Oryzias latipes: one gene and its partner. The protein of the gene in region 1 interacts with the protein of each later gene in a pairwise test. Links are inferred from orthologs where the notes say so. Each region holds a gene or a part of one and is shown in the gene's direction. Other genes may lie near its edges.

What was found.
Region 2: the proteins of fhl3 (region 1) and cnnm3 interact in binary tests that used the Homo sapiens proteins (3 or more experiments, as listed by UniProt). The two-hybrid records come from large-scale screens. The link is inferred for Oryzias latipes from reciprocal best matches to the Homo sapiens genes FHL3 and CNNM3.

Annotation. Positions count from the first base shown.
Region 1 is NC_019874.2:23,687,084-23,692,469, reverse strand, and holds part of fhl3 (four and a half LIM domains protein 3), read left to right. Parts: intron 1-538; coding exon 539-713; intron 714-2,135; coding exon 2,136-2,305; intron 2,306-2,454; coding exon 2,455-2,641; intron 2,642-4,743; coding exon 4,744-4,895; 3' UTR 4,896-5,386. UniProt on the Homo sapiens protein: Recruited by SOX15 to FOXK1 promoters where it acts as a transcriptional coactivator of FOXK1.
Region 2 is NC_019870.2:1,781,549-1,787,509, forward strand, and holds the start of cnnm3 (metal transporter CNNM3), read left to right. Parts: upstream 1-2,103; 5' UTR 2,104-2,453; coding exon 2,454-3,113; intron 3,114-3,186; coding exon 3,187-3,521; intron 3,522-5,418; coding exon 5,419-5,595; intron 5,596-5,961. UniProt on the Homo sapiens protein: Probable metal transporter.

The DNA of each region.
Region 1 (5,386 bases):
ATGGCAGTGACGCAAAAACAGGAAGACATGCGGATCAGCTGGACACTCGTTTTGTGAGTCACCGTGGATCAAAATTTGCCAAATGCCTTTTAAAATGTTAGCTTTTTTTGTTCATATATTCACATGTAACATGCATTAAATATATGTATATTGGTCCAACTATGTTAGTTTTTTTTTTTACTATTTTATAATTTATTTTATTTTTTTGCAGAAGGTGAGTATTCCAGAGAGAAACCTATGTGTTTAGAATGACATTCCTTTGTCTTTCACACACTGCCTCTGTACTTTTCTTTTGTAAACCTTAATCTCGACACTATGTTAAATGTTCTGGAGTATTGATCTGATCACTGTTGTGAATTTTGTGAACATTTGGTAATTTGAAGTTATTTCTGATTCAAAAAGTGTCTAATGTGAAAAAGGTTGTGGGTTCTTGTTATAAGCTTTAGTTTAAAAAAGTGTTGGAAATGGGACTTTCTTTTCATGGAGCTGCATATAAAATAACTTTCACTAATATTTCCTCTCCATGTTCTGCTGCCAGGAGCTCTTCTACGAGGACAGGCATTACCACGAGCACTGCTTCCGCTGTTTCCGCTGCGATCGCTCGTTGGCTGATGAGCCATTTACCAGCCAAGATAATGCTTTGCTGTGCAATGACTGCTACTGCAATGAATTTTCCTCCAAGTGTGTAGCCTGTGACAAGATAGTCATGCCAGGTAAAAATGATGGATGACTACTTTATTGGAGTAAACCTACCGGTATATTTTGTCTTAATCATAGATTTTTTAAATACAAAATATTTGTTCTTTTAAATACTCTCATGATTTATTAAAGTAAACCTCAGGATTTTATTTAAAAAAAACTATATACTATAACTATAAACTATATACATCCTAAATCTATTAAAATTTTGGATGGCAAAATTAATCTTCAAATAACTTTTACTGTGAGGTGCATTGCTCAACCCTTACTGTTATGTCTCTTCTGCCACGTGATATTTAAAAGTTGAAAATAAGCAAATGACTTGAAAAGTTGATGGCTCTGCAAACAACAGGAAGCTAGGAACAATGAAACTGATAAGGTAAGCAATCAGGCAGACACAAAAGAGGAAGAAGTTGTAGAATAAAAGGGGTGAGAGGGGTGAAGACGAGGGTCCCGAGCTGAGCAGCACCCACAGGTGAATGTGCCTTTGCTCAAACTGCTGCATTGAAGTCAAATCCCAAGAGCTGGTGTGCGGCTCACAAAACCATTGATGGCAACGGATAAGAGATATGCTTTACTTCCAAATTCTCCGTCATGGATTCTAGATCTGACTGTTAAATAAATATAGTTTGACTGAGCAGATTACAATGACCGTTGCCCAGATTTATCTTAAAATAAGCAAAGTTACTTCACATGAGGTACATAAGAATCCTCCATGAAAAGTTCAACAGATGAAGCTCCAAAAAATCCTCACATTGCTCAGCCGAACGCTCAGCTCTTGTTCACTTTATTGACTCCTATGGGGAAAAATAATGGTGTTATCTGTCATTATTTAGTTCACTCAATCATAGATTTTTTACATTTTAAAATATTCACAAACCTACAAATAGGAAAGTTTAAGTTTAAAGCCATCCTTAAATACTGTTGACAGGGTAATGTCTGTTCAAAGGTTCAATAAAAAAACTAAAGTAAATTTTGCTTTTGGTGTTGGTATTGTGTTTTTTAAGCTTACAGGAGTTTATTTATCACAGCCCCTGCCACTACACTGAACAAGGAATTCATTTTACATTCCAGTTTATTCCCTTTTATTGTTGGCTTGCCTAACACAGTGAGTCTTGTGCTACGGTCTGGTAGAATTTATAAAGAGAATTTAGTGTTTTTGATCTGAAAATGGTTTTGTAAAAAAATTGTTTACCATTTCTTAAACCAATCGGAAAAAACATATTCTCCATTACATATTTAAGAATGGTTACCATATGTAAATGATATAAGTCAATAAAAGAATCAGTTAGATAGGGGAATTCAAACGTTAATGTTCCTTTTTTTAAGGTTGAACTTAACCTTATTAGACACATCTCTGATATTTATAACATTATACCATTTTATTTTTATGTGTTTGTGCTTCTTATTAAAAATGTCTTCTCATGCATACACAGGTACAAGAAAGCTGGAATATGCTGGCTCTACATGGCACGAGGGCTGCTTCATCTGCCACAGCTGTGAACAGCCTATTGGCTCCAAGTCCTTCATCCCTGACAAAGACGAGCATTACTGCGTACCTTGTTATGAGGACAAGTTTGCTCCACGGTGCACGCGCTGTAAAAAGGTCAGATTGTTAATTTATATGTATACAGGAATTCAAATTGATTTTTTTTTAAAAGACCCTTCTAGTGCAGTTTTGCAGTTAATGACATTGGTCAGATTTAAAAAATAGAAGATGAAAAACTTATTTTGTGATTTTCCTTTTCCTTAAAGGCTTTGTCTAAAGGTGGTGTGACCTATCGGGATGAGCCTTGGCACAAGGAGTGTTTTGTCTGCACCAGCTGTGAGACCCAGCTAGCTGGTCAGCACTTCACCTCCAGAGATGAAAGCCCTTACTGCCTCAAGTGTTTCAGCAGCCTATATGCCAAGAAATGTGAGGCCTGCTGCAAACCGATTACAGGTAAGATTTTATGGTTTTTGTTTTAGAAGTAAGTTGTAGTGTGCATTAGCATTCTAGTTTTCTTAGCCATTTCTTTTTACATCACATCTTTGTAACATCAAATCCTTCATAGTAAAAGTGTTTTTTTTCTAACAATAATGCATGTTGCTTACAGAGACTACATATGTGCAGAGCAGAAATGTGTTTATTTACTTTAGACAAAAGTTGTCAGTTGGAAAAGCCTTTATACAGGTTGCCTTTAACTGTATTATTTTAACAAGTTAGTTAAATGACAGCTGACAGGCTCAGATTGTTATTTTAGGAATCTGGCAGCGGTGCAGAAAGGCGCTCTTCAGTGATAGACCTCTTTGTTTACGTTCTGTTCCTTCTGCTCTCCATTGTGCCATCTCTATTAGCACTTGTGTTATTTCTGTAGGCTACAAGAAGAAAAGACACTCAAATTCCAGTCTGACTTGACCGTTTATTTTAGCAATCAGACACAGAGAAACTACTATAATCACAATTCATGCCACATGCCAGCTTTATTTTTTTATGACAAGTTTTAACAATTTCAGATGGGAATTTAATTTCACGTCTATCACTATTAATTTGAAGGAACAAATATGGACAACTTACGCCTTTGACCTCCTTCTGTCCAGGAAAAGTTTTTTTGCAGCAAGACACATAATTTTTTGAATACAAAAGTCAAATGCTTGGACATTTTTCCCAAATGCAACATTTTCTAAGATTTTTTTAATGTTTTTTTATTTTGCTTTTTTTTTACCTAGTCATTATGCTTTGGCTAGTGTTCAAATATAAAAAAAGACCAAAGAGCAAAAAAATTGGAAGGTAAAATATAAATGTTGCAACAAATACCATTGCCAGTGTAAGAGTGGGAATAATTAAGCCAGGTCAGGTGAAGGCAGATAAAACTGTCTATGACCAAAATCTCCTTTTTATTTATTTTTTCTAAAATGCAAGTTGTTGTTTGAAAACAGGTAATTTTTGGATCTAAAGTGATTGTTGCACATGTCCCAATTTTGATAGAGAAATATTAGTACTTGATGGACAGGTACCCTGTCTGTGCAGGACGAACACGTGAACATGTCTGTATGACTTGTATGTAAAGCTGAGTCTATACTTTCCAGGAATTCAATGTTTAGGTGATAGAACTCACCTTTGGTTAAGTAATGAGGGGGATTGCATTGTTCTGTTGAAGAGCTGGTATTGACTATTACTGTTCCCAGAATAGTCATCACATAAAAAAGTCAAAATGCACAGATGGGGTTGACTTTGTTTCCAGTTGTCACTGGTGGGTAAAATGCAACATGATCAAAAATCCCAATTTGAAGAATTTAATTCCACATTGAAAATGCAATAGTTGTATGCTGTGTGCTACCAACAAGAGGATACCCATCAGAATACAGGACTACAAATTGAATAAAGCTTAATACAAAGAAATTAAGTTAAAATCTCACTCAAATCATCTTTTGATCCATTGTAAAAGTATTGCTTTCGGTCTTTTAATTATGATGATCGTTTTTAGTCAGCTCGGATGAGGAAAACAAAGAAGTACATGGATTAATTTGTCTGCAAGTGGATGCATCAGAATGGATCGGAGCAGTGAGCTTGTGGCCCACCAATCAAAGGACCTGCAAGCTTTTTCCAACAGCATTTTTGTCTGCTCCTGATTAGCAATGATTTGAATTAATACAAATGATGAGAAAGACTTGTCTTTATATATGTCCTCTATCATCACAAAATCCCACAAGAACATGTTAAAAACTTCAAAAATACAATTTTCATTGGAGTGTCCTGTACTTAAGTACTTTTGTCCTGTACTGAAGAACAGGACATAATACAATTAGTGCTTTTTCTTTTCTTTTTTCTGTAGACTAAATGTGAAAGCCTAAAGAAATTCCATCAGTTAACCAATGACAAGCCTGTAATGTGGGTAAATCTAGTTAAAGGAGTTTTCTGTGGTACACTTCATCCAAGGCAATATGTTTGTAATATTTTTCAAACCCACTCCATTCTTTTTATGATTTGTCTGCAACGCCAGTCCACCTCATTTTATTCTATTAAGACTCATTCCTATACTGAGCTTTGTTTTTCTGCTTCAGGTTTCGGTGGAGGGAAGTACATCTCGTTTGAGGATCGTCAGTGGCATCAATCATGTTTCACCTGCTCTCAGTGCTCCGTCTCACTTGTGGGTGCTGGTTTCTTCCCAAATGGCGACAGGATCCTGTGCCGTGATTGCAACAGCAACCTATAGAGCTTCCCTTTGCTCTAGTCCCATCCCACCTTCATCCTTATTTTTTTACTTTCCAGCACACAGGAAGGTAACACGGGCTATCAAAGGCTGCCTCAGGTCGTTTTTATGAAAAGACTTGTTTCTGTGTAAGATTTTTCTTCTGGAGCGAGCAAAGCTGCTGCATTGATTGCATGAACCGCAACCAAGTTTCTTTTATTAACCAGAAAGTTAATAATTTAGTTTATGGAGTGCCCAATTAACACATGTATGCTACAAAATGCTAAAGCAAAGAACTTAAAGTTGTTTGAGACTTTGTCAAAGATGAAAATGTCACCTCAGGTACAGGTCGAACTGAGGAATGAACAAAGAAAACCGTGCAGTACAGTTTATGAGCCCAGAATTCTGACATAAAAAGGGGGTGAAGCTAGTGTTTTTCCCCTCTAAAAGCTGCAGTTGTATGCATTTGGAATGCTACTTTTCCTCACATCTTTTATCTTTACTATTTCTGACTT
Region 2 (5,961 bases), on another chromosome or scaffold:
AGGGTTAAAGTCAGGGTAGTTTAAACGGGCCTTATGGAATACCCCCCTGCTCTTCTTATTTAGTGTAATCAACACATGGAATAAATAACAAACTTGCTGTTCCTCATAAACAGGAGGGCACCGCCTCCTATTTATGAGGAACTGCAAGTTTATTTATTATATTCTATTTTTTATTTATTATATTATTTAAAATGTATCTTTTTGAATATAAATAAAAACAGGCATATCAATCAATCCAGAATAAATCAAGTTAAAACTTATGTAACGTATAATATTTTGCTCCCCATAAAGATATATTCAATCAAAATTATACAAATAGGAAAATTCTGCAGAAAAAAACAAACAAAGCCTGGAAATATTAATAAGAAGAAATAACAAATCCATTTATTCCGTTTTCTTTGCTCTTTTGTCCATTTTTTTTAGAGCTGGACTCCTGGCATCATTTTTAGCAATGAGTTCATTTCTGCTTGGTGGGTGATGTGACGTCCTGTGTGTCTTTATGAAAAGGATCAGAGGAATTTGATTTTTTCTAAAAACCTGTAATTGGGAATATCATTTTTAAGTCTTATAAAACACTACAAACTAAATCATAGAACTCATCAGTGGGATTACTTCAAAAATATTTGATATTTTCCTAATTCTGTGCAACACCAACAGTAAAAATCCTCCAAAACACCTCAAAGCTAATAATAAACAACTGATCCGTTGTTTCTTTATCATCTCAAAAAGTGCAGCTTTTTTGCTGTCTGCATTACGTTCTGTCTTTATATTAAATACTGACACCAACTAAACCACAGGCAGACGTAAAAAATACATTTTATATGGAAAATAAAGACACGTAATAAAATGTCTCCAATAGTTAATAAATAATGGCATTATCTAGGATAGCACAAGGGTTAAATTTGCGCTCCGGGCAATTGCCCATACTTAAAACCGCTACTGGGTGCAGATGTAGAGCGGTCTACCTCTGATCGCAGGTTCAGGTCCCACCCTGACCGCCCATCATCAGTGTCCCTGGGGAAGACACTAAACCATACGTTCCTGCTGGTGGTCGTAGGTTGGCACCATTGTTCGACAGCGGAGCTGCTATCAATGGGTGAATGGGAATGTGACTTTAAGGCTCCTTGGGCCTTGAGGAGATGGCAATGCGGCATATAAGTTACGCCATTTAAGTTTGTTTTAGATTTTTAAAGACCCATTCTGATGAAATTGTGTTTATGGCGTTTTAATCGTGTTCTTTTCCGATGATGGAGGGCATGGATAAAGAAAATTTAGCTCAAAACTGTATTTCTTTCTTCAAATCATTGTAAATCAGGAGCAGGCGGAAAAATGTAGGTAGATAGTATAGTATAGAGATACAGATACTATCTGTGACATAGAAAATACGCTGGGTGGGGCCACAAGTTCCCTGCTCCGCCCCATTCTGATGCAGACAAATAATTCTATGTGGGTCTCGGCTTTTCTTGCTGGCATCTGGATCAAAACTGGCTCCAATATTGCTCTGCATTTTGGTTGCACAGCTGTTGGGTTGCTGGTAGGATGGGTTATAGGAGTGTGTAATCCGAGAGCTCTCAGGTACAGGGAGGGGAAGGAGGCAGGGTTCCTTCTTGCCAACAGCCCCGCCCACAACTCAGAAGTGAATTTCTAATGAACTCCTGCCGCTCTGCAGAAACTATGTCCTAGAAAACCACAGATTTGTTTGCTATATACAGCATAATCACAATTAAATGACCACTGGGAACATTTTACAATAGATCAGAAATTGACCAGAGTGGGACTTCAATCAATTTCATGGACTGCTTTTATCGTTTTTGTTTATTAATGTGGATGTGTGGTGGATTGTTGATTAATTATTAAGTAAAGCACTTTAAGTTGATGTACAACTTGAAAGGCCCCTATAAATAAAGTTACATTTGAATCTCGACTAGAAAGCGTGGAATAGTGGAGGAAAAAACACTTTCTGATACATTTTTGGTTATAACTTGTAGAGAAAGCTGAGGCAGAGAGTGAGGTGACTTTGGCTGAGCTTCTTTGCGTAGACAGAGAGCAGAGGCCCGCGTGTTCGGACGTGTCAAAAATGTTCTTCACGGTTTAGCAAGCGCTGAGTCTCAGCAAGCGCGAGGGCTCTTCTCCCGCCCACACTTCCCGCCCCTTCCCTGTCCGGCTTCTTCGCGCTCTGATTGGCTGGAGGAGGCGTCCGCAGCGGAGGCTTGTTTTTGTCGAACACAGATGGATGGGAGCTTCTGCTACGTCACAGGGTGGGCGGGGGGGAGGGCTTTCCAAAACAAAAACATTGCGAATCCAGATCCAAAATGGACGCCGTTCCCCCACCGAAGCACAGCTACCGGAGCCAACATGGCCGCTGCGCCGCTCAGTTTCACTGCTGAGATGGGCGGGCCGCTTTGAAGTTGAAGTCACGTGATTCGCACAGGGCCGTGTTGACCCATTCCAATATGGTGGCCAGCCTGGCTCAACGGTTTCTGTTGATGCTGTGGTTCTGCGGGGTCAGGCGCGGCACCTGCGGCGGCGAGGACCCCCACATTCTGGGGCTGCGGGTGGAAGACCCCACGGGAGCGGTGAGCATCAAAGACCGGATCATCTCGGTGCCTGAAGGAGCTTCGTTCCAGCTTCGCCTCTTCGGGGCCAACCTGAATGGAAACGGGACGTTGGTCGCGTTCGCGGCGGGGTTCGGAACCGCCGAGGACCCGTGCGGTTCCGACAGCAGCCGGCTGGAGTCCGCCTTCAGGGTGACGGAGGAGTTCAGCCAGGACGAGGTCCACAGCGGGGTCCTGACGGTCACGGCGAACCGGAGTATCCCCGCGGGCGGGGACACCTTCTACCACCTGTGCGCGCGCAGCGGGGAGACGTGGGCGTCCGTGACCCCGGACAGACTGCGGGTGATCCCCGGCGCGGCCGCGGGTTCCATACCGCCGTGGGGTCTGGCGCTGCTCGTCGCGCTGCTGCTTCTGCTCTGCGCGCTGCTGAGGACGCTGCACCTCAGCCTGCTGGGGCTCGACCCTGTGGAGTTGTACGTGCTGCACAGCTGCGGCTCCGAGGAGGAGAAGCGGGCCGCCAAGCGGCTGGAGCCGGTCCGGAGGAGGGGGAACTTCCTGGTGAGTGTGTGTGGGGGTTGGTGAGGAAGATGCTGGTCTGTTGGCCTTCGCTCAACCCGCCTCTTCTGCGCAGGCGTGCTCGCTGCTGTTCCTGTGCGTGCTGGGACACTCGGTTGTGGGGGTGCTGCTGTACCGGGCTCTGGGCTGCATCGCCTCCGCCGCCTTCACCGGGGGCTTCCTCATCTTCCTCCTGGCCGAGCTGGCCCCTCACATCCTCTGCTCGGGGTACGGTTTCCAGCTGGCGCCCGGCCTGACCTGGCTGGCCCAGGTGTGCATGGTGCTCACCTGCCCTCTGTCCTGCCCCCTGGGGCTGATCCTGGACCTGGGCCTGCAGAGGGACATCAGCACCAACTGCATCAGCGAGCGGGTCTTGGAGATGGTCCGTACCAGCGTCAACGACCCCTACAGGTAAACCGGATCCCATTTGAGGTCCGAATTCTGAGACCAGGTCACCCGGCCGCTGATCAGGACGCTCTGGGCGACCGTGAGGAGGGGTGACCCTCCAGCAAAACCAGAACCGTTATCGGCACTGGAGTTGGAGGCCAAAAAAACATCATAAGAACGTAGTAACCATGACGATGAGACACAGCAACTCATTGAAATGCGGTTTGGATTAGAACATCTTTTAACGTGATCCACATTACTTCTCGCTGTTTTTCTATATGTCATGAACATGAATCAGTGAACCTTCATTCCCGACGTCTCCATAGTAACCACCGTGCAGCACGCCTCCATCGTACCACAGCAAAAAGGGTTCAACCTGACCTTGATACAGACGTTCAAGTTGTAAAGTTTGAATCGGTGAACTGTCCTGACAAGACTGCAAAGAACAGGACGGCCATCATTTCTGTCTGTAGTTGCTTTGCCCCGCCTTCAAAATTCCTGACCAATGACTGAAGAGATCTTTAGTCATGTGGTTTTCTTTACAAGCTTTGGTTCGAAACGGGAAAGTTTCTAGTTTGAATGCAGCCTTAAAGATAGTTTAGGTCTAGTCCTGAAGACAGAAGTGGCTTCCACAGAGGAGGAGCTTAATAACCGATGCTCCGCCTTCATTTTAGTTGAGTACATTCTAGAAGCAGCAGGAAAATCTGGAACTGTTTCAGAGAAAAGACAGAGCTGTACATTTAATTCCAGCTCCTCTGGGATCTTCAGCAGAATCTGGATCCACTTCAGACGGTGTCTTCGGTTCTGATGGAACCCAGATCCTTCAGAACGGAACCGATGTCCTCAGAGAAGTTCTCTGCTGATGACTTTTCACATCTTCAGGATTGTGAGATCTTTTGGCATTCCTGTGAACCTCTTTGGGGGTGCATCTCGCCTGAAGGTGTGCTCCACGCCATCGGTTTCATGCTTGGCGCTCCAGATCCGATCAGGAAACTGGGAACACTCTAGAGCAGTGTTTTTCAACCGGTGTGCCGCGGCACACTAGTGTGTCATGGGAAATGACCCATTCGCTGATCTAAAAACATTTCCCATCTCCAGGATATCAGCTCTGTGTTCATCCAAAAAACCCTGATAAAACACTGAGTAGTTAGGAATACGAAAGATCATAAAATACTTTTTTCTCTGTGCTTATTTGATTCTATTGAAGACATTTTGATAAGAATGATGGTACTGCGATTTAGCCGTAGCGTCAGCTGTTTTCTGAAAAGTCCCGCCCCTTTAACTGTCTCCACCAATCATTCTTGGAGGCTTAATCACACGTCATCAGTCTGACCAATCAGAAGTGGTTAAAGTCTTCACTTCCTTGTTCAGATTCTGCTCATAACGTCTCTCAGTTCCAACTAAAATACCAGCTAAAGTTCGTCTTTAGTGGTGTAGCTTTCCACAGAATCCAGTGTCAGACCGTGGAACAAGTGAACAACACCATGAAGCTCAGAGACGAGAATCTGTCTTCCATTACTACATCTCCCATGATGCATTGGGTTAAAGTGACAGCGTCTCAGCGCACAATGAGTCTCTCCTCTTAACGTCTTGTAACCACAACGAACACATCCAACAGTTTTCTTTTAACTTCACTTTTATTACATCTTTTAGAAAAAACAGCTGCAGCTTCTATCTTTTTCTGCCACAATTATCACAAAAATGTGAGTGAGATCATGGAGGGGCTGTAGATCAATACAGACTATGAGTTTCTCCTTTTTTTTTCTTCCAATTTTTGGATGCTGGTGTTCCGCGGGATTTTTGTCCAGGTTAAAGTGTGCCGTGGCTCAAAAAAGGTTGAAAAACTCTGATCTAGAGGAGCCGGAGTCTCCCTGAGGCTCCTGACGTGACGGAGTCTGTGGTTGAAATGCTCTGTGTGCAGCGAGTTCGTGAAGGAGGAGTTCAGCCACGGGATGCTGCGCACCAAGACGGTGGAGGACATCCTGACGCCGCTGAAGGACTGCTTCATGCTGCCCAGCTCGGCCGTCCTGGACTTCTCCACCATGTCGGAGATCATGCAGAGCGGCTACACCCGGGTGCCCATCTACGAGGAGGAGAGGTGGGAGCTTCACCTTCATCCAAAATCAGGTTTTAAACGGTCAGAAGACTAAAACGGCGTTGGAAAGGACCTCTCACGGCACCCAGAAGGAGTTTAAAACTCCGGGTCTGAGCCTTGTTTGATCCATTTCTCATGGGTTACTGGATTACACATTCCCGGGTTTCTCAGTTCTTCAGTCTTTAGTTAGAACTCCTCGGCGTGATGAAGTGTTGATGGCGCCGGCTAACTTCTAAAGATGTTGTTCAGACAACAGTCCAAAACAAGAACCGCTGTCACTTCTAGATCACTAAGACAGAGCTCCGTTTAACCCATCAGCCTCGGTTCCACCCTCACTGATGACCACCAGCTGTGGGTTACGGTTCCGAT